Linked DNA regions of Mus musculus: all the other regions are reported to be linked to region 1. The links are microRNA targets in miRTarBase. Many come from high-throughput screens and were not tested one by one. Region 1 holds a microRNA gene; each other region holds the end of a gene's coding sequence.
The links. Region 1 holds the annotated microRNA mmu-miR-290a-5p (ACUCAAACUAUGGGGGCACUUU, at 2,180-2,201, shown strand). A microRNA usually pairs through its seed, bases 2 to 8, with sites in the 3' UTR of a target mRNA and lowers its output. Matches are read on the target gene's strand: a 7mer-m8 pairs with bases 2 to 8, a 7mer-A1 pairs with bases 2 to 7 and ends in A, and an 8mer does both.

Region 1 (4,129 bases):
CATGGGCTGGACCTAGGCCTCTTTGCTCACATGTAGCCGAGGTGTAGCTTGACCTTCATGTGAGTCCTAAACAGCTGGAGCAGAGGCTATCCCAAAAGCAGTTGCCTGTCCCGGAGTTATGATGGTCAAACTGGGCTGCTTTGTCTGGCCTCAGTGGGAGAGGAAGCACCTAGCCCCACAGACTGGAAGTGCTGGGGGGGGGGGGGCGACTCAGAGGAGAAGACTGGGGTTGGGGGAAGGATTGTAGAAGGAGGTGACCTGGAGGGGGGCAGTGAGTAGGATGTAGGGTGAATACATTTTTAAAAATTAAATTAATTTTTTAAAAATGTTCCATTACACACACACACACACACACACACACACACACACACACACACAAGGTGTAGACTTAGGAGTCCTAAATTATTCTTGGCTATTTAATGAGCTTATGGCCAGCTTGGCGTACTTGAGCCTTGTCTCCAAAAAACAAACAAACAAACAAACAAACCCTAAACTCCAAGTCTGCAATATGCCTCTGTAGCTTTAGCCCTGCCGCCTGGAGACCTAATTTCAATCCATGGAGCTATTTAAAGATATTTAATAAATAATAATAACAACAACAATAATAATAACAAAAGAAAAACAGCCGGGCATGGTGGCACACGCCTTTAATCCCAGCATTTGGGAGGCAGAGGCAGGCGGATTTCTGAGTTCAAGGCCAGCCTGGTCTACAGAGTGAGTTCCAGGACAGCCAGGGCTACACAGAGAAACCCTGTCTTGAACCCCCTCCCCCCCAAAAAAAACATATTTAAGCATAGGAGAAAACTAACTCTATCATATTGTTCTTGGACCTTCATATTCAGTGTGGGAAAGAAAGAAAGAAAGAAAGAAAGAAAGAAAGAAAGAAAGAAAGAAAGAAAGAAAGAAAGAAAGAAAGAAAGAAAGAAAGAAAGAAAGGTAAAAAAGAGGGAGGATTTGAAACTCTGGATTTAAAAAAAATTCAAACGAAAGAATAAACTGAACCTCCCACATTCTTCCTTTATTTATTTTTATTATTATCTTAATACTGAATGTAGCCCTGCCTAGTCCCGTGCCTAGTCACCATAGTAGACCAAGCTGGCCTTGAACTAACAAAGATCCTCCAGCCTCGGCCTAGAAAACTATAGGATTAAAGGCGCTGCTTCTAGAAACAAACAAAGAAATCTGTTTCCTCTGGGGGGTGGGGGGGAGAAGAAACCAGTGAAGGTCACTCTGCCGCAGGGAAACTCAGCTCAGAGGAAGCAGGGTGGTAGAGTAAGGATTCTCCGGGGTGGGGGAGGGGTATCAGAGCCTCCCAGTCCAGGGGGCCAATGAGCCTTCAGACTATATAAGAACCTAGAGCCTCCCCCACGCCTCTCAGAGACTTCTACTCCACATCGGGAATGCTGGTCTCTGCGGTCTTCAGGGATACCTCCGGCGTGCTGCTTCTCACATAGGCAAAGGTAATATTTTTAGTTTCAGATTTTTTATTTCCTTCAGTTCTGTGGTTTTAATCTACCTGGTTTAGAGAGGCGAAAGTAGATCCAGGATTTCCAGAAGAGAGATCTTCCTGCTTCAACTTTGGAGATGACTAGCCAGGCTGGCCTTTAACTCTCATTTCTGCCTGCCTCTCTGCCTCCAGATTAAAGGTCATCACGGCCATCTTCATTCTACTTTTTAAAAACTAGAGCCCCTTTTTTAAAAGGCAGGCTAGCCGCGAACTCAGCCTTCCTCGCTCGCCCCCACGGTTTGGCTGGGTTTACTAATCCCGAGGCAGAGGCAGGCCCATCTGAGGTTGGTCTGGTCTCCAAAGAAGACATTTAGAACTAATGTGTGTGGAAAAAGAGTTGGGCTTTTTTTTCTGACTTGGTCTACATAATTTCAAGGGAGGAACGAGCCTATGTGGGGAAAGTGAGTAGTCTGGGCGCGAGTGAAGTTTGGGGACCAGAAACCAAAGCTAGGAGTTACTGAGGGCAGGTCTAGGGAGTCTATGCAGTACATTTCATTAACTACGTGGTTTCATTGTAGAAATTTTGAGTTTCACTATACCTTGAGTTAGACCGATGTACTAACTCTTCCTTGATTTCATCCAGGTTTCCTTCAGGTTGGAGTGAATTTTAAGTTCTCCACGTTCTTTCCTCCTGGTAAATGTTTTAACGTCTGGACCGCCTCATCTTGCGGTACTCAAACTATGGGGGCACTTTTTTTTTTCTTTAAAAAGTGCCGCCTAGTTTTAAGCCCCGCCGGTTGAGAAAACGGCTATCTGGCACATTTACCAGCCCTGGTGCCACGTGTTCCGGGTTAACTGCAGCGTGGTGAGTACGGATTCGAAGAAAGGAATGAGACTGAGTATAGCGAAAGGCTAGGGATGGGCATCCTGCCCAGTAGACGGTAACTGAGGTGGTCGTTGTAGGGTACCTGGGGGCTCCATGTGCGTCCTGTCGCTGCTTGGAGCTGTTACACCTATGTAGCGGCCATCAAAGTGGAGGCCCTCTCTTGAGCCTGAATGAGAAAGTGCTTCCACTTTGTGTGCCACTGCATGGGGAAAACATCATAGCTTTGCATCTGACGCATCGGTTTACAGGAGCGGACAACCTGTGTGGGGGTTTAGGCTTGGAGTTTAATGGGTCCTATCCTAAAGAGGGCGGTTCAGTTGGGTGCCACGAGACGCGGATGGATGTAAGGCAGTCGTGAGTCCAGGTGCATTGTAGATTGTTCTTAAGCTTGACCTCCAGCCTGTGATACTCAAACTGGGGGCTCTTTTGGATTTTCATCGGAAGAAAAGTGCCGCCAGGTTTTGAGTGTCACCGGTTGAGAACTCAAAACGGCTAAGAACTAAGAATTAAGTTTTAGTGGGTCATGTTTTCACTGGGGTTGCATTTCTGGGCAGGTGGGTGTCACATGTGGGTTTGAGTCCGAACACTTGGGCGCATGCGGTACTAAAGGCTTTCCGCGTTCATAAAGGAGCCGGGATCCCACATGGGCCTCGCTCGGAGGAGCTGAGCCTCAGGTCTTGGAAGTTGGAACATACAGTGTCGATCAAAGTGGAGGCCCTCTCCGCGGCTTGGCGGGAAAGTGCATCCATTTTGTTTGTCTCTGTGTGTACATGGCGTCTGAAAAGCCGGCTGCAGCTGCAACCTGGAATCGCTTACCTGCTTGAAACAGGTATGTGTGCTGGAGGTGAATTCGTTGCCACTGGCTACTCGAGCTGCAAGGCTGGAGGTGAGGAGGAAGCAGGGCAGGGTGGAAGGAGGCACTCCAGGTCCAGGGGTGGTGAGTCTAAGCCTCAGGTCTGAGTAAAGAAAGGCCTACTTTTAAATCTCACGTGGCCGCCATATTAAGTCCTCTTTCAATTTTTTTCCTTTTTCTCCAAACAGGGTTTCTCTGTAGCCCTGGCTGTCCTGGAGCTAACTCACTTGTAGACCAGCCTGGCCTCAGCTCCATCCACCTGGGATTAAAAGATCCTATATATCTTGCTTGACTACTGTAGTTGCTATATCTTGCTTGACTACTGTAGTTGGACTGATGGTTGTGAGTCTTGATATGGTTGGATTGAATTTTTAGGACCTGCTGGCTGTAGCTGACTTTAACCTGGCTCCTAGCACAAACAAGCTTGGTGGACAGCCGGGTAGATAATACCCATAATACCTTTTGGCTTTACAATAGCCCAGGCTCATGAGGGCTGGGATTACAGGTGTTACATTGTGTGCCCTAAGCATAATCTTCATGGATTCTCTTTGTTTTTCAGGTGTTCCAGTTGAGTTGAATGTAATCCTGCCTAGCCTGGGGTACTTACTTGCCTTCAACCTGCCTGGCTGGCTGGTCTGGCTAAGAACTGACTATAAAGTTTCAGGTTTATTACCACAGCAGGTCCCTGTGGAAATGCTTCAATCTGTGGTACTCAAACTGTGTGACATTTTGTTCTTTGTAAGAAGTGCCGCAGAGTTTGTAGTGTTGCCGATTGAGAAACTGCAGTTGGCCTAAGTGTTGCATCATTTGGGTGTCATCTGTGGGTATGATTCAGTCTGTAATGGGGCAAAAGTAAAAGCTGAGGTGCACGGAACCTCACGGGAAGTGACCCAGATTTGACAGGTACTGTATTACATATAGCTGCATTTATCCTTTTGGCATT
Region 2 (4,129 bases), not on the chromosome of region 1:
AGCAGTGTACTAAATCCTTTGCCTCTCATGGTCAACTTCAAAAACATGAAAGAATTCATACTGGAGAGAAACCTTACAAATGTGATCAGTGTGGTAAAGCCTTTGCCTCTCATGATAAATTTCAAAAACATGAAAGAATTCATATTGGAGAGAAACCTTACAAATGTAAGCAATGTACTAAATCCTTTGCCTCTCATGATAAACTTCAAAAACATGAAAGAATTCATACTGGAGAGAAACCTTATGAATGTAAGCAATGTACTAAATCCTTTGCCTCTCATAATAAACTTCAAAAACATGAAAGAATTCATACTGGAGAGAAGCCTTACAAGTGTGATCAATGTAATAAAGCCTTTGTATATGAAAGTTATTTACAAGTTCATAAAAAAACACATACTGGAGAGAAACCTTACAAATGTAATGAATGTGGTAAAGCCTTTGCACGACACAGTCATCTCAAAGTGCATAAAATAACACATACTGGAGAGAAACCTTACAAATGTAATCAATGTGGTAAAGCCCTTGCATATCATAGTACACTCCAAGTACATCAAAGAACACATACTGGAGAGAAGCCCTATGAATGTGAGCAATGTGGCAAAGCCTTTGCAAATCAAAGTTATTTCCAAGTACATAAAAGAATACATACTGGAGAGAAACCCTACAAATGTGATCAATGTGGTAAAGCCTTTGTAGGTTCAAGTGATCTTAAAAGACATGAAAGAGTTCATACTGGGAGAGAAACCTTACAAATGTGATCAATGTGGTAAAGCCTTTTCATACCATTGTCATCCTCGAATGCATAAAAGAACGCATACTAAAGAGTAACCCTATGAATATAACCAATGTGGTAAAGCCTTACAGTGATCTTGAAAGGTGTGGTGGACTAAATATACTTGGCCCATGACAAGTGGCAGTAGTAGGGAGTGTGGCCTTTCTGGCATAGATGTGGTGTTTGAGAAAGTCTGTCACTATATGCTTGGACCTTGAGATCCACACAGGGCAGAAGAGTCTTCTGGCTTCTGATCAAGATGTAGAACTCTTGTCTCCTCCAGCACCATGTCTGCTTGGACACTGCCATTCTTTTCGCCTTGATGATAATAGACTGAACCTCTGAATCTGGACCCAATTAAATGTCCTTTATAAGAGTTGCCTTGGTCATGGTATCTTTTCACAGCAATAAACCCAAATTAAGACAGACAGCATAAAAGATAACACACTGGGGCTGGTAAGAGCAGGTAAGACTCAGCAGGTAAGAGCACTGACTGTTTTACAGAAGGTCCTGAGTTCAAATCCCAGCAACCACATGGTGGCTTACAACCACCCGTAATGAGATCTGACACCCTCTTCTGGTGTATCTGAAGTTAGCTATGGTGTGTACTTATGAATAATAATAAATAAATCTTTAAAAAAAAGATACCGCACTGGAGAGAAACTGACAAGTAGATAGTTCTCTGCATGTTTGATAAGTAACATGTTTTAAATAGTCTCTTTTTCCTTCTCCTCTTCTATTTATCCTCATCTATAGTCTACATCTCCTTTTCCTTTGCATTTTTCCCCCATGAGGACAGTGATGTATTAAGATAGAATCTCACATATATTCCTGAGTTGTCTTGAATTAAAAATCCTCCTACCTCTACCTCTTTAAGGCTCAGATTAAACGTGTATATGTCATGCTTAGGTTTTTCAAACAGAAATCCATGGATGTGGAACCCTGAGCTAGAAAATAACTGTCTAATCTTGGGGAATTGCCAAGGTGATGACAATGTTGAGGAGTAGACCTAGAGAGTACAGTCATGCCTCCATTTCTGTTAGCTCCTGGAAGTGCACTACTATAGGGACATGGAGTAAGCCTAGGCATTAGTTACAAAGCAGCCTGTTTCACTTGAGACAATTAAGAGGCACCAGAATGACCAAGAGGGACTAGAGCTTAAAGCACAGTAAAGGCCTTCTCAAGCCAGACAAGGACTCCAGGAGATGCTCTAACAGATTCAATGATCGTTTGCCAGAGAGGACCAACTGCATTGTATTAGGAGGTGTAAGAGAGGGTTCCAAGATGCTTCCTACTAGCTTCACATAGTGTTTATTTTATTTAAGCACTAGTGTTTATTTAAACCCAAACACTCATTTAATAGAATACTCTGTGTTTAACATTCATGTGATGTACTTTCTAGGCCATCATCCATGTCCAAAGAGCATCAGAACATGGTATCTGCTGCTGATACCTTGAAGCAATTCCAGAAAGATCACTGTATGTGACTATTTTGAAATGTTTAATTCCAAGCTTCTTCACAATTTGGAAGGTTCATAGGAAGAACACATAATGACCAGAGTGCCTTTAGCTATGTTAGTGATGGGCAGGGAAAGAAAAGTCTTGTGGGTTTTCATTAAAGGTTTCCCTCCTGTGTTTACATCATGCAAAGCATGAACCATGATTGGTCTCTGAGGTCTTGCACTGTTTCTCCTTGGTAATGTTGCCTGATGAGCAGGTAATGAATTCTGGTCTTCAATGCACATGCAGAGATCAAGATTTCCTAATTATTCAATGTGTTTTCTTAGAGTCAACATTGTATTGAATATGTAAAACATCTAAACTGATATCTAGTGTAAGGAGGTTGAATCTGGGTTCTGTCTGTGCTGTTACGTTCTACATGCAGTGAGTGTAGTTTAACTCCACTACATTGTTGTGGCTGCTCAATATCACTTATTGACCATCTAACTCCAAAGAAGCACATTATACATTGAAACTATTTTTTCATTATGTTATTTCATGAAATGTGCACTAGCAAACATTAAATTAAAAAGTGTTATTTCTCTGGAGTGTGCTCAGCAATTAATTTTGTATCAGGAAATTAAAGAGAACAGCTTTCACATGCATACATTCACAGTTAACAGTCTGCTAATGATAAATGTTATCAAGTGCAATGATGATTTTTTTTCCTTCTAGTCATCTTGACCTACTACAAATTTGTTCATTATCAGAAATTAAATAAGCAATTAACTAAATTATAGATATAGTGTTACTGGGAAATTATTATTATTATTATTATTATTATTATTATTATTATTATTATTATTATTTTGGTTCTTTTTGAGACAGGGTTTCTCTGTGCAGCCCTGGCTGTCCTGGAACTCACTTTGTAGACCAGGCTGGCCTCAAACTCAGAAATCCACCTGCCTCTGCCTCCCAAGTTCTGGGATTAAAGGCATGTGCCACCACCGTGTGGTTTGGGAAATTATCTTAAGAATAAATATGCACTGGAGAGATGGATCAGAGATTAGAAACACTGACTGTTCTTCCAAGGTCCTGAGTTCAATCCCCAGCAACCATCTGTAATGGAATATGATGCCCTCTCCTGGTGTGTCTAAAGACAGCTACAGTCTACTCACATATATAAAATAAATAGATCCTTAAAATGAAAAGTGGGCTGGAGTGATGGCTCAGAGGTTGAATGCACTGACTGCGCTTCCAGAAGTCCTGAGTTCAAATCCCAGCAACCACATGGTGGTTCACAACTACCTGTACTGTGATCTTGGTGCCCTCTTCTGGCATGCAAGCAGAACACTGTACATAATAAATAAATCTTTAATAATAATAGAAAAGAATAAAAATGCAAAACCCTTGACCAAAAAAGGTAGAACTCTTCTCTCCCCTCCCTAAAAGGTAGGTGAAATTTATTTGAGATGGTAAAAGGCTCTATGCCTGTTTGAAGAAGATGGTATGTTACCTAGATGCTTTAATTAGCACCTAAAATACAGATCACAGTATTCCCTTTTGTGTGGGAGGGCAGTCATACAAAATATGTGTAAATGGGCAAGTTTGCACATCCTATCCTCCAGTCCGAGGACTGATAATATTGGGAATAGGCTACTGAAAATGTGCTGGAAAGACTCACTCAGAAACAATTTTTATTTTAAATCTTTTACTTTTAAAATGTGTTTACATGGGCTGGCAAGATGGCTCAGCAGTTAAGAGCACTAACTGCTCTTCGGAAGGTCCTGAGTTCAAATCCCAGCAACCACATGGTGGCTCACAACCAACCATAATGAGATCTGACACCCTATTCTGGTGCATCTGAAGACAGCTACAGTGTACTAATGAATAATAATAAATATTTTTTAATGTGTT
Region 3 (4,129 bases), not on the chromosome of region 1:
GCTCTCACCAAAACAATGCCCTACAGTTCAATTACAGTTTGACTCTGATCAGAAATAATGTGGGGGCTGGAGAGGTGCCTCAGTGGTTAAGAGCACTGGCTGCTCTTCCAGAGGTCCTGAGTTCAATTCCCAGCAAACACACGATGGCTCACAGGGTCCTATCATTTTCTTATGTTTTGGTATGTTGCATTTTTCACAGAATGTATATTCATCTAAAATTTCATTTTAATATAAGAACATTAATTTAAGATCATTTTTCTAATTTCTTTTATGCATTTGTGGAATATGTGTTGACATCTTGCATGCTTCTAGCTGTGAACGTTTGCTTTAACTATTGTGAAACTTTACTAACTGCACACATATTAAGAAGTCATGTTCTCGCTCACTGATTCATAAATTCTAGGGAAAATATCTCTGGTAGGATTTTTCCCTTTGAGGCACCTTCTTTTACCCCAGCTAAATGTGACTTGTTTTGGTCTGCCTGATGTAGCCTTTTCATGACTCTCAGCAGTAATCTGGGATGCCTGGTGAACAATCTGCCACTTGAATTGCTTTTGATGATTACGTTTTATATAAAGACTGAAAACTAGGCCAGATTTGGTGGCACATACCTGCCATCCCATTGCTAGGGAGGCTGAGACTGGAGTATCACCAGAAGCTTAAGGCTCTTTCCATTCAGTCTCTGTTACAAGAGCCACAATAAACCTCTTGAATACAGTGTAAACAAACACCAAAGCCTGTGCTGGTGTCAGCACAGAGCTCAACGAGTCTCCAGGATGCACTGGACCCAGTTTGAGCTGAGATTGCAGGAGTAACAGGTTAGAAAGGTCCCTCACCAACGCCAGTGATAGCTGAAAAGTGGAAGCTGCATCCAACAGTTTACTGCATGCCTTACCCCTACCTAAACAAAAGCTAAGACAATCTAGCAAGACCTGGGGATGTGCTGACTGCTGACCTTTACAATAGCACTGTCTACAGACTCATACAGGTTCATACAAACAGCCCAATCCCAACTCCAGAAGGCTCTCACACGGGAACAAACTTCTTACAGGTGGGTTGTCTCCAGCCAGTTTGGAGTTTCCTTGTGCTCACACAGCAGGTTGATGGAAATTTCATCCCTCACTATTCATAGTTTTAATAAGGATCGGAGTGACTGCATTTCATTATCACCAACTGTGATAGGAGCCCAAATCGAAAGCATGGATGTCCTGTCAGAAACCTAGTCTTGATTGTTCTCAACAGCCACTAGTATTGCCTTTTGGATCTGTTGTCTGTGGTCATGTGTCAAGAGGGCAGGGGCAGGTCGGCACTTGTAACTGAGGAACACTGTTCTTTGTCCATGTGTTGCTCCAGTCTACTGTGGCTGATGCATACAACTTACAAATGTCGGGATTTGAGTGTTTTCCTAACCCCTATCTTATTTATTGCACATAATACATGTAATAGTGAGGAGAGAATATGCAAGATGGGAAGAGTAGAACAAAAAGCCACAAAGCCTCACCAAGCTTGATATTATATTACTCTTTCAAATCTTTAATTCTTATAATGACCTAGGAGTCTTGTGATGACTTTTCACCAGGTAGAGATGTGTTTTAAAGGTGGACTATAAAATGAGACCGTTACTATACACAACAGGGAGGGTTTATCATGCTTGTGAAGGCTATGTTACAGTTAGGTTTGCAGGGTCTACAACCTCACTGGAAAAAAACCCCTGGGCATGTCTTCGAGAGGTCCTCTACACTAGGCTGAAGTGGACACCCACACTACACATAGGCAGACCTGTTCCATGCATTAAAGTATTGGAGTGTGTGAAAAGGAGGAAGCCAGCGAGGCACTTTTCCTTTTCTTTTCCTTCCTGACTGGACGGGATGTAACCAGTCACCTCCTCCTTCTGCCACTATGATTTCCTCAGCACTGTGGACCCCACACCTGAACTGAGCTAAAATACCCTCTGTAAGTTGCTTTGTCCCAGTTTTTGTCTCAGCAACCACGCACACAATAGCACAGGATCCTTTTATATACTTTATTTTCATAACTTGCAAGAGAATTTGGTATTAGAAGTCTTAACTGGAGTTCTTTTTTTTTGTTTTTGGTTTTCGAGACAGGGTTTCTCTGTGTAGCCCTGGTTGTCCTCGAACTCACTCTGTAGACCAGGCTGGCCTCAAACTCAGAAATCCGCCTATCTCTGCCTGCCTCCCAAGTGCTGGGATTAAAGACGTGCGCCACCACGCCCGGCCTAACTGGCGTTCTTTAAGCTGAACTGAATCACAAAAGTATAGTCAGGTATTGGGAAAACCCAAGTCTGTTAGTGAGGAGCAGACATGAATGGAGTCCATGAGAAGGACAGGGCACACTACTGAGCTGTACACATGATACCTTTGTCAGGGGAATGCAAATGCCCCTAAGCTGTAAGATGGTGACACTGAAAGTTAACATGATGAAAATGGCAGAGTACTATATCAAATATATTTCAAAATATATTTCTAGTTGCATGAAAACCTTCATTTTGTAAGGATTACCTCAAAATTAAAATATTTTATCAGAAATATAATTTTGATAATAAAACCACAATTAAATAAAGACATGCAAAAGAATGCTTTGCATGTCTGTGTTAATTTAAATATCACCAATATAAATATCCTTTGAATATACTTCATTGAAAGATAGTATGTCCACAAGCTCTCCAAGATGTGCCCAGGCACAGGTGAGCCGTGGATGATGATCTGTCCTCCTGGGGAGCCTATGTGCAATGGGTGCCAGGTGGGAGCTGCCTCTTTCCCCTCCACGTAGTGATGTGCTGGGTGGGGCCACAGGTAAGGAGTGGGATACAACCTGTGAGACTGTCAGGCGGTTGTACCTGCTGTACCTGTAAGCAAGCCGTTCCCCACACAGCCACCTCCAAGAAATGTCCAAACATTTTTAAACTCATCTTCTGTAAAATTGACCTTTGGCACTTCAAGAAAAAACAAACAAACAAACAAAAACAAAAACAAATTCCAAGCGTCTCTGTTCCAGTTTAGGACCAGATGTCCTGCAGATATCGTTTCTCTTGCTTTAACGTTGCCAGCGTCTTCATTGCTTCTAGTTTGTCAACACCAGCTTCATTGCTTATGATTCCTATGAGGGTGTCGTTCACGTCCTTGGCCATATTCTTGGCGTCTCTAGAGACAAAATGGCACACTTTATAAAGCAGGAACTTCCCTTAACCAAACCCTCTTAACCACATCCCTAATTCTCTCTGATCCCGCAATCTTTGTTTTCTCCTCACTTCTCAGAATGTTTTCCAGGCATCCAGCTTCACTTACCGCAGGCCAAACCTTCACACATGGTGGCCGCTCTAATAGAGCTGACCACATGGTTCCATGGCTTACAATCCACCCCTAGGCTCCAGTGTCCTTGAACAGTCTTCAGTTTTACTGCTGGAGGGAGCTGGGCTCTAGCACAAGCCCCTGCCTTCCCTCTCCCTCGAAGCGAACGGTAGACCCCCATGCTCTCATAGTCCCAAACCTTCATGCACATGAAGTGACAGGTCCCTTCACTGAGGACAGAACTTAGCTCTTGAAGGCAGGTGAGGCATCACACACAGCTATGTCACTGCCCCTTGCTAATTCCATGTTAAGACTGTCTGAGTTCAGGGAGTGGACCTCATGTCTCCTTCTACATCCTGACATCTGGATGAAGAAACTGTAAGACAGTACCTTCAGATGCCACAGTTTACCCTTGAGAGGTGTCTAAGGAGCCAGAGCATCTGTGTCCTTCCTCATCTTTTCCTCACCCACCCAGAGCATCTCTCCCCACAGGCCTACCCTCTGCAAACCTACAGGTCCTCTCTGCCTTCATCTCACTCGATTCTTCAGCTGAGTGCCCCACACTCAGGAAGATCCCCTCAGTTTTGGATGGGTTCCCTCCTTCACTGTCTCTGCACCTGTCCGCCCACTCCACGTGTGACTTGTGAGGTGACTCTGAGCCTTTATCTCTGACCTTGCCACTGCCACTCCTAGGAAACTTAAGACTCAGTGACGTGGAGGGGCTATGTCAGGGGAGAATTTAAGAGTCTGGAGGTATCTGTGATGTCTCCATGTTCTCAGTCACCAGTTCCCAGCACATCTGTGTGATTGGCTGCACCTGC
Region 4 (4,129 bases), not on the chromosome of region 1:
ATTCCCCTTAGCCTTTTTAAAGATAACATGAGGTTGCTTAGCATCTATTGTAATACTTTGAGTACCCAGTAATACTTAAAATTGACACAAATCAGAAGAACCTCCTGATCTTTCCAGACTCGTCCTGTGGAATGTCTCAGCACTTCTGACTTCTAGCCTTGCTTCACAATCTCTCTGTGACGGCCACTGTCAACCGTGTGGATGGCTGTTAAGCTTTTTCTACCCAGGAGTCTGCCCCAAAAGCACACAGATCACTTCACAGAACTTGTAAACCAACTGTCTGCTCATTTTCTCATTTTACAACCATGAAATCAGAGGCCCAGAAGAAAAATGTCACTGAGCAAGTAAAGCAAAAACTGGAACAAACCACCAGTCTTCAGGGTATGCCCTCTTAATCACAAAGCGCCTCAAACCTTTAGCAATAGCAATGATTGAACATGGCTTGACAGTCATGACAAGGACAAGAAAGGAAATAAATACAGAGCACTTCACTTTCAATGGGGAGCAATAACTCCACTAGAGGGTGAACATATCAGGGACCAAAAATATTGGCAAATGTCGGTTTCCTTTCCTGTTGTGATAAAATAGCCTGATAAAGCAACTTGAGAAAGGGTTTTGGCTCACAGTTCAAGGCCATTCATCCTGGTGGGGAAGTCAAAGCAGTAAGAGCCTGAAGCAGCCAGTTACCTTATGCCCACAGTCCAGAAACAGAGAGGTGCATACTTGGTTTCCAGTGTTCAGCTCACTTTCTTCAATTATGTAGTACAGGATATGAATGGTGCAGCCCAAGGTGGCTGAATAGTCCCACCTCAGTTAAAAGTAATCAAGATCGTCCCCCACAGGCACACCAAGTTCCACTTCCCATGTCATTTGAATCCTGTCAACCTGACTAATCACAGTAGTTATATTGAAATGTACTTATATGTATCCCTACCCCCCATCATTACCTTAGAGTTTTTAAAATATGAATTCTACAGTACTGTAATTTTGTTTACGGACTGAGCTCTGAAAGGTTGTGTTTCTGTAGGCAGGGGATGATCGTTGGCCATCTTCTGTCCTGAGTATGATGCAAAGTGAACATCAGCATCTCACAAATGACAGCTAATGAGTTCAGAGAAATACTAAGAGCTAACATGTAACTCAGTTTGCACATACCTTTACTGCCAAAACTGATTCTGAATGACGTCATCTCCACAGATAAAACTTAAGTTTAAAATGTGGGAGGTGATCCAGAATGCATTTCAACTTATATAAAAGCCATCAGAGCAGTGAAGTTTTACTCCCTAGGCAGACTGAAGTAGAATCGAGCCACGAAGCAATCCTGAGTACTCAGTAACCTAGCCACAAAGCAACTCAGTACTCAGCAGGTATCTTTTCTAGAAGTGGTGAAAGGGCATAGGAAAAATTGTTGATCTTAATAATTGAGTTTATACGACAGTTGACTTTCACAATACCCTGTCACTATACACTTTAATTTACTTTCCAGTCCTAATCCAGTTGTGACCTGAGAAGGGCCAAAAGAGATTACATTCTTATGCAGTTTAAAATTATGTGATTAACAGATGAGACCACTGCTGCATTTAGTAAAGATAAATTTTTATCTCAAAAATTAAGTAACTACAAAAATCACTCTAAGAAGTTTCAGAACCTTTTAACTGTCAGCTTTATTTAAAAAATACAAATATTTTCACATGTTAGATTTTTAAAGCATCATACAACAAAGAAATCTACGTCAAATAACTCAAAAACACAAATTCTGTCCACTAAATGTTACAGTATTTAAGATAAATTAAATATTTTTCATATTATCAACATTTAAGAAAAAGCTATTTCTAAGGTGTTGCTATAATTAAAATAAAAACAACCAGTTTTCTTTTCTTTTTCTTTTGTTTTTTTAGAGAGAGGATTTTTCTGGCTGTCATGGAACTCACTCTGTAGACCAGGCTAGTCTCAAACTCAGAGATCTATGGAATGCTGGGGTTAAAGGCTTGTGCTACTACTGCCCAGCAAAACAACCAGTTTTCAACAGCAAACTCAGCACATGCTTAAAACATCAAAATGATGGTGAATTGGTGCAAACATTTCATATCTGAAAAAAAATGCACTTCTTGTGAATTCTAACACTTAGCCAAATATAATCTTATTCGTCAAAGAAACACTTCTGGCACTGTGATTGGAGCCCGGCTCTCAAGGTTTACATTACACGACTGGTGGCAAGCTCCAAGTAGGAAGAGGGAATGGGATGAGATAAGATAATTTGTCATCTTCTAGGGATGGTGTGATCAGCTTTTCATTGATAGTTACATATTGGGACAGAATTGAAAAAACAAGTATTTTGAAATTTTTATGTATCAAGTTGAAATTTCTATCAGGGTCAAATCTGAAATCACATTTAAACATAGACATATCAGTCTTGCAGACTTCATTCGGTATATACTTGTATATTTTGTTCAGACCAAAGGGATTTTAGAAATATTAGTTACTTTTAAAACAAGAACAAGTGCTTCTTATTTATAATGAATATAGTTAAATTATTTGGCAGGTAAAAGCATCACACACTTTCAGGTTTTATATCTCAAATACTCCTGAGGAAACAGTAAGAATAAAAACAACTTTTTATGCTTTTAAAACCTCTTTTTCAGAGATTGTTAAGATGTCTAAAGAAAATAACATGAAATACTGGACTTAGTGGGAAAACTAAGGAACTTATACCAAATAGGGAAAAAAATTAAACTGACCTATCATCTGCAATGGAAAATGTGATTCAAAATTTAAAGGAGCATGGCATCTTTGTTAAATACAAGATCAAATATGATCACTCACTCGAAAAGTACCCTCAATGACATTATGAGTGCATTTAGTTTGGGGAAAATAGTTTTAACAGCTTTCTCAGGAAAAAAGTTTCACTTTTTTCATAACAAACAAAATAACAGTTACGAAGTCCAGCGCCACCAAGCAACCTTCATTCTGTCCCATACTGCAGAGAATGAATCAAAGGCAGGACGCACATCCAGGATAGTGAACTGGTACTCCTTGTTCACCTCACCACCATCATAGTAATCAATCACATATCTAACTTCTGTGCCACAACGATTGATGATCCAGTCATGGCGGTCAAAAGGCAATTCATACCTGTAATGAAAACAGTTTGCTAAAATGCAGGTCTGTATTCTGTCTGTCTTGGTGGTAGCAGAAAGACAGAGTGAAAAACAGCACATACTCATTTGCAAATATCTAGCAGAGGAGATGAGCCTTAGTCAATCAGTCCATGGTGTTTAGAGAATATGGTGATTAAGAACTATGATGAATCCATGTCTATAAAGGAATAGGTTCATGGTAAAGAGGGCCAGGCCAGGCTAGGTAGAAAGCTGGAGAAATCAAATGTACTTAATAGTCCTATTACACTATAAGACAAGGGAGGAGTAAGGCAAGACAAAGAGCACAAGAGGAGTAAAAAGACAGTTCTGAAGACACCAAAAAAAAAGAACAATTCAATCCTTCCAGAGTGAAGCATGAAACCAGCAACCCAACCTTTATAATTCTGCCCATCTATGAGTAAACTCAAGGATATGAAAGAAACATAGGCTGGATACTGGAGATGTGGAAGATGGAATTGCTTTTCCTACACTGTTTTAGGTGATAGGAATGCTAACCATGGCTTAAGGAATATCAACAGCAGTTCTACACTGACACTTACCCCATCCAGGAACGAATTCTTGCTCTTGGTGAATACTCTCTTGCTTTACCTCCAAATCGGACCAACGATGGGCCACAAGGACACTCACTGAAAATGCCCAAATAAGAATAGTCTATTAAAAACATTTTCTTTCATTTGATAGGATGATATTTTTGTTTTTGAGTAAAGTCTTCTTTTCTACATTTATTTGTTATACTATCACATTTACAGAGAATAACTTCTAACAAAGTTCAAATAAATCCTATTTGTTAGAGACCTTTTTCTTTCCTTTCGGATTATGTGTGTCTCTTTGTAGGCGTCTGCTTGGCTTTCTTGCCAGATTCAGGAAGCAAGACCTTCTCATTTGGGACAAGGACACAGGCATACTCTCAGAGAAAAAGTGCTATATACTGTGTATCTTCTTTCTCTTTTGCAAAAAGCACTTAGTGTTTC
Region 5 (4,129 bases), not on the chromosome of region 1:
TATGTGTATGTGTGAATATGTGTGTATGTGGTGTGTGTATATGTGTATATGTGTATGTGTGTATATGTATGTGTATATATGTGTATATGTATGTGTGCGTATATATGTGTATGTATATGTGCATGTGTGTATATGTATGTATGTGTATATATGTGTATGTGTGTATGTATGTGTATATGTATGTATATAAGTGTGTACGTGTATATGTGTGTATGTGTGCATGTATGTATAAGGACATTTCTCATTTGTCCCTTTCTCAACCTTATCCTCTCTTGTTCTCAAATCTCCTCAATTTAGATCTCTTCCTCAGCACTCATAATTCTATAATTACTGATTTCATGTCCTTGTGAGCACACACTCGAGCACACACACATGTAATATTCACATGTGTGTGTGTAAATATGAGCCGTAAGAGAAAATGTACAATCCTTGTCTTGAGTCTCAGTTGGATCCATTTTCCTGCAAATGGCATCCTTTCACTCTTCACTTCAACAAAATTCCAGCATGTACATGTGCCTTTCTTTATGTCCAGTTTTGTTATCCTTTGATCTATTGACATCTCATACTTGTTGTGAATGGTGCAGCTGCCCCCACAGCCATTTTAACTGTGTGTGTTGTGCATTTGCCTATTTGTTCTGGTGTGAAATCTTTCCCGGTGAAATCTGATGAGTCTCAAGTATTGTTGAACGGTATCCAGGCTTTTCATTATCTGCCAAGGCTGTGTAAAAAGGCTGAGTTGTGTATAAAGTATACAGTCAACCCTCTCCTGCCCTTTTCTTTTCTCTAGCCTACGTGTTGGACGACATCAACCTTTGTGGCTACTTTGCGTATTCACTTAGTGATCGCTCAGCTCCCAAGTCTGGCTTTTATCGATATGCTGCGAATCAGTTTGAGCCCAAACCATCTATGAAACATTACAGGAAAATTATTGACAGCAATGGCTTCCTGGGTTCTGGAACACTGGGAAGGTTTTGTCCAGAAGAATACACTGTGTGCACCGAATGTGGATTTTTTCAAACCCGGAAGTCTTTGCTGGTCTTCATCTCGTTTCTTGTTTTTACTTTTATTATTTCTCTTGCTCTCATTTTTCACTACTCCAAGAAAGGCCAGAGAAGTTATAAGTAATGTGAACGTCTGCCTGGCCATTCGCTTTGGGATCAAGATGTACACGCCGTCAGCCGTTTGCACCTCTCTGTGTTGTGAGCCGCATTCCACACATTTCGATTCTAGAAAACCCTTTTTGTCATGGGTGGTAGAGGTTTTAAACAGGAATTGGTGAGAATAAAATATTGCAGGGTGAATGGTATCTGAATCTGCTCTCTTTGGTGGCAATTACGGAATTATACTCACCACAGTTTCTACAGTGCCCCGGAATGGAAGGCATAGAATACGGTAGGGATAACAGTGCCAAGCAGACAGAAGTTTAAAGAACAACTTTAGGGACTTGTTTATCCATGGCCATTTTTAAATTCACTCCTGTTGGGGAGTAACACTCTCTCAATTACCATCTTAACACCTGGACTTTACCTGATCCAGTTTTACAAGGTGAAGTAGAAAAATATCCAGTAAAGGTGGCCAAGAGCCCTGAGTCCAGAGCAGCCCATTAAGAAGCACTATTCCTACCAAATGCTGCTAATGTCAATTTACAAATATACTTAGAAAGCACATTATGGACATTTGTATTCTTGTGAATGTTTTTGAGGTGTGCCCTAAACCCCAGATCCTTGAGGGCTTTCTCTTACCAACTTTCCTTTCAGAGCCTGCTTGTTGGAGATTCTTCCCCAGCCCCCTTCCCCTTTCCCTCTTGCTCTGCCCCACCTCGCTCCACCCAGCTTGCTCCAGCCCAAAGATTCTTTATTTGTTTCTCATTACCGAAGGTTGTGAGCCACCATGTGGTTTCTGGGATTTGAACTCATGACCTCCGGAGGAGCTGTCATGCTCTTAACCAGCCCATGTTGAAGATTCTTTTGATAAATATTCACAAAAAATAAAGATGAGCCATGAGCTGTTGGCCTCTTCGGAAGCGGAAACTGAGTGATTTGATTGAACATCCTTTTATCTTTGACCAGACCTTGGAATGAATGCAATGACCTTTCCCACAGGAAGAAGGAGGAGCTCTCAGTCAAACTGTAAAGAATGCCTCTTCAGAATATGCTGTCAGTGCTTGGATGCCATGATGTTCAACTTTCTTAGTCGATCCGGCAGCAATCACAGTGTGAGCACACTGGGAACCTGTCCTTGCGGCCGCCGAGATCTACCGTGTGCTTCTGTGAAGAGGCTTTGACGTAGCCCCTCTTTGAGCTCTTACACCATGCTACTGACTTCTAGAAAGGCTAATTAGGTCTTCTTCTACACCTAATACCCTAAGTCTTACTGACTCTCACGGGAGAAGTCTCTGTGCTACACCTGAGTGGTCTTATTGATAACCCTGATACCAGATCAGGCAAGATAAATCCGTCATAGCAGGCATGGCTACCCTTGCTGCCACAGGGTCACAGCACATAGCTCATCACCCTGTTATTCTTCATCTTGCAATGTGGTATGGTTTTCCTGGTGAATGATCAGCTTTTGCTGTGGTATTCTTTATACATCTGGACTTATTATTGAAATCAAATGCTATAGAATCAATAGTTTATTTTATGTCTATTTTTCTTGATCGCAGAGTAATATATATTAATTGTAAAAAATTTAAGAAACAAAAACTATATGTAAAGAAAAAATTATAATATAATACAGAGATGCTGCTGACAGTTCCTATGTGTTGTGTTTTGTATACTGAGATCATGTGATACGTAGGCATACATCTTCTTGGGTTTTTTTGTTTTTGTTTTTTGTTTTGTTTTGTTTTGTTTTGGTTTTTTGAGATAGGGTTTCTCTGTATAGCCCTGGCTGTCCTGGAACTCACTTTGCAGACCAGGCTAGCCTCAAACTCTTATTCATTTTTACTGAAGTAATTTTTCTGTCATTAGTCTTCAAGAGCAAAACTTTAATAGTTATGGAGAATATTGCCAGAACAGCTCAAAACTGTTTTATTTGTTGGTCCAATTTCCCATTAATTAGTTCAATAATAAATATCATTTAGAAATAACTTTCTTGCTGAATCATTTACTCTTCTTACTCCGGGAATGTAAAGAAAAGTAATTCTGTTTCTTGAGAAAGCATTATAACCAATCTTTGTGCATCTTTACCTTCTACCATAATTATGTGTCTGTGGATTGGTAGTGATTTTTTTTTAATAGTAGGGATGGTAGTTTGAACTTATAATCTAGTACATGGAAGGCTGAGACAGGGGTATAACTGGGAGGTCAAGGCCAGCCAGGGCTATAGACTCTGTTTTTTAAGTAGCAAAGTATTCTCACATTTGCTAAGGTGACCAGAGCAATAGGGCCGTTCAGATGGCCACAGGAGCTGAGAGACACGAGAGAACAACACAGACAAAAAGCCAAAGAGAACAGTACGAGAATGGCAAAATGCTAGGAAGAGAAGAACCAGACACCGGGAAGCCCACCAGCTCAATGAGCATCATGGGAACTTCATGTTCAGTAGAACTTCAGAGACCTCCAGCCATTGGCTAGACAGAAGAGGCGGGGCTTCTTGTGCCAGACTCGGGGACTGGGGTAGGCAGAGAGGGTCTAGGGGGAGGGGCTTTTGGCTAGTGGGGTTGCCTTTGTTGTCTACTATAATGACTGAGTACGTTCAACTAGACAACTCATAAAGAATGGAAGTTTATTTAGGTCAAAGATCTGGCCCAGACCTGTTGCTGTACAAGCCGGTGGGGATTATCACATGGCAAGACAGAGCAAGCTCGTCAGCACTTGCTTCCTTATGGAGCCACCATCTTCTTCATGGGGACCCCATCTTCCTGACCTCATCTAATTCAAAAGATCTCTGGAGACCAAATCTCATTAATGTATCTTTGGAGATTAAGAGTCCAATATGTAAATTCCCAGGGAGACCCTCAACACCAAGATAAACCAATCCGCCTCTCCCTTCTACAGTTCCTCTATAACCTATAGAGTAATTCACATCTAGTTCCCAACTAGGCTAAACAATTGGTGGAACGTATCCTCTAAAGACCTATATGTGGATTGTTGCTTTTCTCATAGCTGTGATCAAATACCTGACCAGA
Region 6 (4,129 bases), not on the chromosome of region 1:
TAAATACCAACCTACCAGTGTTCATGTTTAAGCACACGGATCTGTATGCCTCAGCAGGTAAAGGTGCTTGTCACACACATCGGATGACCTGAGTTTTCCCAAGAGCCCATGTAAACATGCAAGGAGAGAACAGACTCTATGCAGTTGCCTCCTAAGCTCCACCCATGTGGCATGCTATTTAAGACCAACACATACACACCCACGCACAATATGAAAGATTTACATCTAAAACCATAACATACTTAATAGAAGTGAAAAACTTACATCTAAAACCACAAAGTTACCCTGTGAAGTGTGCATCTTCTGCCACTTCCACCTCAACAGTCTGAGAAAACTCATCTTTTGCATTTCTGAAATTCCTTGTTTTTGTTGTTTCTTTGGGATGGGGTAGATGGCTCCGCATCTAAAAGCACTGGCTTCTCTTCCTGGGGACCCAGGTTCAATTCTCAGCACCCATAGAGTTCACAAACACCTGCAAATCAAAGATCTAACACCTTCATACAGACATACATGCAGGCAAAACACCAAGATGCATAAGATAAAAATAAAAAATAGTTTAAAAATAAGAGAATTGGGCTGGGCGGTGGTGGCGCATGCCTTTAATCCCAGCACTCGGGAGGCAGAGGCAGGGAGATTTCTGAGTTCGAGGCCAGCCTGGTCTACAGAGTGAGTTCCAGGACAGCCGGGGCTATACGAAAACCCTGTCTCGAAACACACACACACACACACACACACACACACACACACCCGCAAAAAAAGAGAATTGGCCTTATTCTGGTACTTGTAAATGTTCCTCTAAAATAGTATTTTCACTAACACATTTTTATGTAGATTGTTTTTGAAACAGGACCAATCTCTTATAGCCCAGGTTGTAGCCTTGAACACTTTGAAACTGAGGACAACCTTGAACTCCTGATCCTCCTGCTTCCATCTCCTAAATATGGGAGTTACAGGGATGCTAACTTCCATGTCTGGCCTGTAATCTTCACTGTACGTATGACTTCTATGGTGGCTAAGGTGACAGTGTGTATGATTCCCAACAGCTTGTCATTAACAGTTGCTTAGAATTTTGCCAGAAATCCTCCACACCTCATGCATTTCAGTAGAATCCTCTCCCACGTGCAGTCTGGGTCAGACAATATGTGATGGTAGATGCAGCAGAGCTCAGGTGCTAACATAACAGGCCATTGCAGCCCATTTGGGCCCGTACCAATCCTGTCACTGCGTGACACGAATATATGTCTAAGGACAAATAATATTTAAGCTGAAAGACCAACCAGGGGATGTGAAATGTCTATCTATACCTTGGGCAAGGGACCAGACCAGGAATCACCAGGACGCCCAAGCATGCCAAGGCAAAAAAAAAAGTGAAAATCAAGTTGCTGTCTGGGGAAGCAATGAAAGCAGAGCAAGCAGCAGGGCTGAGTCCTCAGAGCACTGCTTCAAATCCTACTTATCTGAGACACTCATGGGAAGGTGAGGAAAAGAGGGGAAAGTGTGTCCTAAGACCATCTTGGCCATACTTGCAGGGCTACAGTAACTTAGCCCCAGCAGCTCAGGCCAGTGTCTCGTAGAATTAAAGGTTAGGATCCAGTTCAGATTCAGAAACCAACCAATCCTTAATTCCTGGATATTTTCCTGGGCATTTTTCCTCGTGCTGTGGCACACCGAGCACTGCCCACTTCCCTGCAAGCCAAGCTTGTCTCCCTTAACACTGTGCCTGCCAGCCAGGGCCTACCAAGAAAGAGGTATCATATCGGCATCTTCCACTCAACTAAGCACTCCTGCAGGCCCGCATGTCCATGCATCCTCAAGGCCTCAAGTAGGATGAAATGTTCTTACCAAGCCTGCCCTTCCAGACAAGCACACTCTGTTCCAAGTTTGCAGACCAATCAAAAAGAAATGGCTATGGCCATTCGTCAGGAGCAAGCACATTTCCAGGAGGGAGTAAGAAGCAAACACTTCAGCCAGGCGTGGTGGCCCACACTTTTAATCCCAGTACTCAGAAGGCAGAGGCAGGCGGATTTCTGAGTTCGAGGCCAGCCTGGTCTACAAAGTGAGTTCCAGGCAGCCAGGGCTACACAGAGAAACCCTGTCTCAAAAAACTAAAAAAAAAAAAAAAAAAAAGCAAACACCTCAAGCAACAGCCATTTCAGCACAGGACGCCATCTACGAGAAAGGCCTGTGTATGTACTTCCTGTTCTCTCAAGCCTTCCTCCTACAGTAACTTTACTGTTGGTGACTGCAGTGTTTTCAGCACTAGCTTCCCATTTATAAATGTACTTTACATAACAAATACTTAAATATTTCACTGACTTTTCCTTAATTTTATAAATTATAGATTTCTAAAATCATAATTTTCGGCATTTTGGTAATACGAGGTGTTGGGTGTCTTCTTTTAACAATGTTGTCACTAATACCTCCTACTGTGCTGAAGCTTGCTCAGGTACTCATAGCTCCTTAACTGATAAACCCTGACGTCTGGTTCCTTCCCCAGACACCACTGAGGCCCACTTGCTATAAATAAAGCCCTGGAGACATTCTACATTGGAGTCTACTTGGGTTTTCACTGACAGCCACTCACTCACTGAGCTCAGCTTCATCAAATTTGTTTGCAGATTAGGAAACTGAGGCAGACAACTCAATGAATGATCCAGTTCTCACATTAGGTGCTGCTGAAGAAAGCTGAAAGAGTCAACCTTGTATTCACACAGCACTACTATCATACTGGGTCCACTGACCTTAGCAGCCAGGGACTCAATTGCTTTATTACCTCTGTACATACAAAGAAGCTTGGCAGTGAGTGGCCCGGGAGCCAATATACAGACCCATCTACATTCCAGGGCCTGTTCCTGCTCCAGACTCATCTTGTTGAGAAGGCATGACAGGGGATAGACACCCAGAGCAGAGAGTCCTCAGACACTCAAACACAGTATGAGGCCAACAGACCAAAGTACATTTCCAGGGGCTGCAGATGTGCTGCAGACTGCAGTCTGAGGTGGAGAGGCAGGGCAAAAGGAGGTTTGGAGCACTGACTGGGAGATAGGGTGGTGGCAGCATTTCAGGCTTGAGGGTTGATGGGCAATGGGCTCACTTGAGGCGATAGAGCACCTTGCGCTGCATACGGTGTTGGATCTCACCCCTGCGTAGCATGAGCTGCAGCACCTTTCGGATAGCGTGCTCTGGATATTTCTGTAGGAGGGAGCACAAGACAGATGCACAGGTATATCATTATGACCCAAGGGACCTGATGCATCACCGGATCATAGACAATTTTAAACAGACAAAAAATATCCACCTCCATTCTCCCTTGACTTCAGAAAAGTGTGTATGTGATGATGCCTCTTGTGTACTAGGTAAGTACATATATCGACTTTATGCACCTAGTATTAGGAATAATCTCATTTTACAGAGGAAGAAATAGGCACAGGCTGTCACTTGTTTGGGTCATATAGCAATTAAGTGAGCTAGGACTTAAGTCCCTGTGACCCTAGAAGTCAAGCTTTCTCCAGCCCCAGCCTCAGGCAAGACTAGTCTCTTCACTTATAGAGGGCCAGTATCTGTTACTGTATAATTTACTTCCAGGAGCAAACGGAGAGGATACACAGGGAAGGGAACGAGAAACAGAAACCAGGGCTATCCTCATGATTTTAAAGGGCACAGGCTCCTACTGGTACCCCAAACAGTACCTCCTGTGCATGTTATCAGTAGCCCTCTTCCCAATGGGCTGCAAGGCTAACTCATCTGTTTCTGGTCCTCCCTACCATGTAAGGATCTAAACAAGGGAAAACCTAAGAGATGGGAAAATTGGGTATTGGTTTCTACAGACCTGTCTTCCTCCTTTCCCTATAAATAGCCAACCCCAACTGTAGACTGTAGCAGTTCCTACAAAAGGAACAGTGGCTCAAACATCCCCATCCCAGCACCCCTCTGCTGAGCACAGAACACTGTATGTGATGGCTGAGTGGGAACCAGACTAAGAGAACCAGCAGGACATCCTCTGTATCCTGGGCCTGGCTTGTAGACCCAGGGTTAGAAAGGCTCACTCACCTGTTTGGTGAAGTCCTGGACAATGCTGTGTTCAGACACCTGAGAGCCAATGGCAAAACGGCGCTTGAGTTGCTTCTCA
Region 7 (4,129 bases), not on the chromosome of region 1:
AGAGAGGTATGGGTGAGAGAAGGGAGGCAGGAGAATAAGAGAAGGGGTGGAGGAGGAGGAGGAGATATCGATATCTGAGAGGAAGAGAGGTAAGGCCTGACTACCCTCCACTCCAGCGACACCCTCACAAAGCTCCCAGGGACACTCTGAGGGCAGCAGCCCCCAGAGAAAGGATGGAAAGTCACCGCAAACACCACGAGCTTCAACTAGACGAGTCCCAGCACAGACCCTAAAGAGCCAGCAGGGCCCAGCGCAGCAACAAGCATCTCTGCTCCTAGAATCACTTTGCCCTGCGGTGCTGTCCTCCAGCCCTCAAGCAACCACAGGGCACTGCCTCCAGCCCTTCTCACACTCCATCCCACGCACTGGCCCCACCGTCAGAGGAGCGCCTGTGGTCACTCTTCAGTGTCACTATAGGTTGTGCGAGTGAGAGAGAGAGGGACCTCAAGGCCATGGTGGGTATGAGGCCCTTCCCCCATGGGGCCCCAATGTACCTGGTTCCCTGGCCCTCCCCAGCATGCCCCTTGGGTTAATGGCTCTCCTGTCCTTCCTAGCTTGGTAGTTGCAGATGCAGTTCCACTGATAAAGCCCTGAGGGTGTGAGAAGAGAAGAACCAGGCTAGAGGAACTCTGAGACTCCAAAATTTATTATCCAACATGAGCTCTTGACATGGAAACCAGAGGCCAGAGAGCCCTGTACCAACACCATCTAGGAAACCAAGGCAGGCCTGTGAATCCCCATCTCCAGACCCAGCACCCCAACATGCCAGCCTACCTGCCTCCGGCCTTGAGCTTTCACCCAGCCACCAAGGTCACCACATCTGTATAAACAGATCGATCTCTGAGGACCCTTGAGTGAGCAGCAAAAGCAGGGTTAAACCTGCCTTCCTTCTGAGGGACACTGGTCCAGAGAGACAGGGAATATAATTGTCTTTCTAAACCAGACGGCTCCTTCCTGGAGCCCCCAGCCTACAACACTGACCTGTGTAAGGTAATGTGCCTTAAGTCTAACCAGAGCTCCTGCTGCTGCAGATTCCATGCATATTAAAGGGTCTACAGGCCTAGGGCCTCACTACCTGGTTCTCATACACAATAGACTTTTATTTTCAAGAAATGTGGTGATGGGTGATCTTTTTTTGTTTTTGCGTGTATGTTTGTGTACCGTGTGTGTGTGTGCCTGGTGCCTACAGGGCCAGAAGAGAACATCAGATCCCTGGAGACTGAAGTTGCAGACATTTGTGAGCTACCATGTGGGTGCTGGGAATCAAACCTGGGGCTTCTGGAAGAGCAGCCTGTGCCCTCAGCGGCTGAGCCATCCCTCCAGCACCACACAGCAGACTGTTTAAACATTTGTGGAATGAGCCACCCTTTCTACCTGTCTTGTCTAGCACGGAAATTAAACAAGCCACTGCACTTAAAAGCCTTTTAACAGTGACATAAAAGCATTGCTAAATAATTCAAAATCGATTCCAGCACTTTCTAGAGCCTACAGTCCTGTTTTGTTTCCCTGGCTATCCTGGAACTCACTTTGTAGATCAGGCTGGCCTCAAACTCAGAAATCAGCCTGCCTCTGCCTCCCAAGGGCTGGGATTAAAGGCGTGCATCACCATTGCCCAGTAAGCTTACAGTCCTTAATCCCCTCCTTAATTGACCTGACCTGTGTGGTCACTGCCCCCTAGAGTCCCTGGGAGAGTTCCAGAGCTAGAAGCCCAGTGTGCTACCAATGGCGTAGAGGTTTGAACTGAGGGGGCGGGGCGTTCCTGAAGAATAACCAGGGGGATTCTGGGAATTCTTGAGAGCTAGTCAATGGGTAGGGTGTCTGGGGTGTGGGGTGGTGACCAGGGGCAGGAGGGAGAAGTCTAGAGAAATGTGAAGCCAGAGCGCCACCTAGTGGCTCCCTCACCTCTGCAGACCCAGGTTAGCGTGTTCCCTGTCCTCCACAGCACGCTCCAAAAAAGGGATCGATTCTTGTGTGGCAGAAACAGAATGTCTGCTTCCTTGCTTCACTGACTCCATTCCCTTCAGCTCTCTTTCTGAGGATAAGAACACCACACCACACTGCGGAGAATGACCTGGCTTGAGGCCACCCCACCTGGACTGTGAGACAATTGGTGGCTGGACTCAAGGCTAGGCTCCTTGGGGAAGGTGGGCGCACATGGGGAATGGATGGGAAGGCCGAGTGCAGTGCCTAGATTGTGCCTAAACACCAGCGTGGTGACTGCAAGGTGTTCCTTGCATTTAGGGACCACCTCAAGTGACAGAGCCCCGCCATGGTGGGACAGCTCAGGTGGGGAGGTGAAAGCCGCAAGAGGCATGGTGAGGACTCCTCAGGCTTAGGGATAGCTGTCTCCACAGCTAGCTAAACCCCAAGGCAAGTCTGGAGCTAAGTCTCTAACCAGCAGCTCTAGCACAGGGTGATAGGCTCTGCTGTGGACCCAGGATAGCCACAAAAAAATGACAGCTCTCTGACTTCAGAATAAGAGTCCTCCCCAGCAGGCTCCCAGCAGGCCCCTACATGTCACTTAGTACCCAGGGCCTTTATCTTTGCATATGTCTGCTTAGACAGTTCAGCAGCGCCAACTATGGCCTTTTTTTTTTTCTTCTTCTTCTTTTTTTTTTTTTTTTTTAGCAAAAGTGGTACCAGTGCAGGGCCAAGTGCGTTGCTCTCTTCTGTGAAGGTCATTCAAGGGCACCAACGAGCCAGGAGGGGCCCGCTGGACAGTGGGAGCATAGCTGCTAGGGTCACATAACTCCAGGCATCTTGAGCTGGGTGCATGCCAAGGCCGGCTGTTGCAGCAGGACAGGGCTCAGCCTTGGTGGTAGTGGTGCGGATGGCGGCTGTGCTCTTCCCTGGGCCCCACAACTCTGGGGTTCCAGGAGTGCTTCTCCTTCTTTCGTGACCTATGGGGGAGACAGGGAAGGAAGCAGGAAATGGCCTTTAGGAAACAATGCCACATACTGAGATAAGACCCTAAGGAGAAGGAGCCCTGTTCTTCTGGTGGAGGCCAGCTCAGGTGACTGCCACCAAGCAAGGGAGGAACCTGGGCTCCAGGATGAATCCATTGGGGGAGACAAGGGGCCCTCTATGTACAGGCAAGGTGGGGAGGGGGTCCTGGCTCAAAGGGGGACCCCTCAGGACCACTGCAGCCCCTCATGGGAAGATAGGATGTGTACCCAGAAGCCTTCTTTTTGTAAGGCCAGGGGATCAGAAATGAAGAGAGAGACTCAAGCTACAGACCTCTTCATTCAGGGCCCAACGCCTTCAAATCCCTCGGCTACTCTCTCCCACGCCCATCCCCAATTCCCACCTCTTCTTCAGGGCCTTGTCCCCAAAGAAGTGGCCGAAGACAAAGTCCTCAAAGTCATCCACTTCATCATCGTCGCCTGTCTGTTTCAGTGCCACCTCCTCCAGGCTGTCCTCCAAGGCATCCACAAAATCTCTGAAGCGAAGCCGGTCATGCCTGAAGATGCCATCTTCTCCAAAGTAAGCAGGTGAGAGGGGCAGCTGTTTGGTCAGCTGCCCGGCCCAGGGCAGCCGAGACAAGTATTCTCTCAGCACAGAGGCCAGCTCCTGCTGCCGCACAGGGGCCAGCTCCACACCAAAGAGGGCCAGGCCCTCCTGCCGGGCACAGTCGGCCACACCTGAACAGCCCTGAGGGGGTCGGTACTTGCGCCTCAGCAGCTCCTCCCAGGAGGACAGGGCGTCAGGGCTGTTGTCTTTCCCCCAAGAATGCTTCTGCCTTTCTACAGAATGGGAGTTCCCATCTTTCCTAGGGTGTACCTTGGGGTCCTGTCGCTTGCTGTCCTTTCTGCTCCCAGATTCGTCCGCCCGCAGTCTGTCCTCCCTCCAGCGCCCAGTGTGCTCCCGGCCCTCATCCCTCCAGCTCCTTTGCCTCTCCTGGCCAGACTCCTCCTTCCTCGGCTTCCAGTGCTCAGCCTTCTGATCCCTCTGCCCACCGCGCCACTTCTCCTTCCCACCCCACTCCCTGGGACTCTGGGTGTGAGGCTTCTTCTGGTGCCAGGCCTCCGAGTCATTGGGGGACCTGCCAGTGTTGATACCCTGATTCTCGAGGTCCTGCAGTGTCTGGGCCAACATGTGACCGAGTTCAGCCAGGCCAGGGTGAGCTGGG

Region 2: the mRNA of Zfp932 is a reported target of mmu-miR-290a-5p. Seed matches in the 3' UTR shown: 8mer at 954-961.
Region 3: miRTarBase lists Mtrr as a target of mmu-miR-290a-5p. Seed matches in the 3' UTR shown: 7mer-m8 at 2,161-2,167.
Region 4: the mRNA of Hccs is a reported target of mmu-miR-290a-5p. Seed matches in the 3' UTR shown: 7mer-A1 at 2,574-2,580 and 8mer at 1,949-1,956.
Region 5: the mRNA of Kl is a reported target of mmu-miR-290a-5p. Seed matches in the 3' UTR shown: 7mer-A1 at 2,859-2,865.
Region 6: miRTarBase lists Mcm5 as a target of mmu-miR-290a-5p. Seed matches in the 3' UTR shown: 7mer-m8 at 2,923-2,929 and 7mer-A1 at 2,096-2,102.
Region 7: the mRNA of Pbxip1 is a reported target of mmu-miR-290a-5p. Seed matches in the 3' UTR shown: 7mer-m8 at 1,545-1,551.

Annotation. Positions count from the first base shown.
Region 1 is chr7:3,216,460-3,220,588 of GRCm38, forward strand. It overlaps Mir290a (microRNA 290a), which reads left to right and starts at 2,167; the gene lies at 2,167-2,249. It overlaps Mir290b (microRNA 290b), which reads right to left and starts at 2,236; the gene lies at 2,179-2,236. It overlaps D7Ertd143e (DNA segment, Chr 7, ERATO Doi 143, expressed), which reads left to right and starts at 2,325. Exons shown (of 1, transcript NR_028425.1): 1 at 2,325-4,129. It overlaps Mir291a (microRNA 291a), which reads left to right and starts at 2,460; the gene lies at 2,460-2,541. It also overlaps Mir292, Mir292b, Mir291b, Mir293 and a transcript of Nlrp12 not described here.
Region 2 is chr5:110,009,261-110,013,389 of GRCm38, forward strand. Zfp932 (zinc finger protein 932) reads left to right here. Exons shown (of 4, transcript NM_145563.2): 4 at 1-1,151. The coding sequence ends at 758. Among named protein-coding and RNA genes, the nearest start is that of Zfp932, 15 kb to the left of the region's middle.
Region 3 is chr13:68,559,272-68,563,400 of GRCm38, forward strand. It overlaps Mtrr (5-methyltetrahydrofolate-homocysteine methyltransferase reductase), which reads right to left. Exons shown (of 15, transcript NM_172480.3): 15 at 1,509-3,161. The coding sequence ends at 3,017. Among named protein-coding and RNA genes, the nearest start is that of Mtrr, 21 kb to the right of the region's middle.
Region 4 is chrX:169,309,891-169,314,019 of GRCm38, forward strand. Hccs (holocytochrome c synthetase) reads right to left here. Exons shown (of 7, transcript NM_001331049.1): 6 at 3,698-3,784; 7 at 1,640-3,132. The coding sequence ends at 2,934. Among named protein-coding and RNA genes, the nearest start is that of Hccs, 8.4 kb to the right of the region's middle.
Region 5 is chr5:150,990,730-150,994,858 of GRCm38, forward strand. It overlaps Kl (klotho), which reads left to right. Exons shown (of 5, transcript NM_013823.2): 5 at 788-3,088. The coding sequence ends at 1,125. Among named protein-coding and RNA genes, the nearest start is that of Kl, 40 kb to the left of the region's middle.
Region 6 is chr8:75,126,286-75,130,414 of GRCm38, reverse strand. Mcm5 (minichromosome maintenance complex component 5) reads right to left here. Exons shown (of 17, transcript NM_008566.3): 16 at 4,051-4,129; 17 at 1,976-3,192. The coding sequence ends at 3,091. Among named protein-coding and RNA genes, the nearest start is that of Mcm5, 19 kb to the right of the region's middle.
Region 7 is chr3:89,447,444-89,451,572 of GRCm38, reverse strand. It overlaps Pbxip1 (pre B cell leukemia transcription factor interacting protein 1), which reads right to left. Exons shown (of 11, transcript NM_146131.2): 10 at 3,308-4,129; 11 at 621-2,900. The coding sequence ends at 2,807. Among named protein-coding and RNA genes, the nearest start is that of Pmvk, 9.6 kb to the left of the region's middle.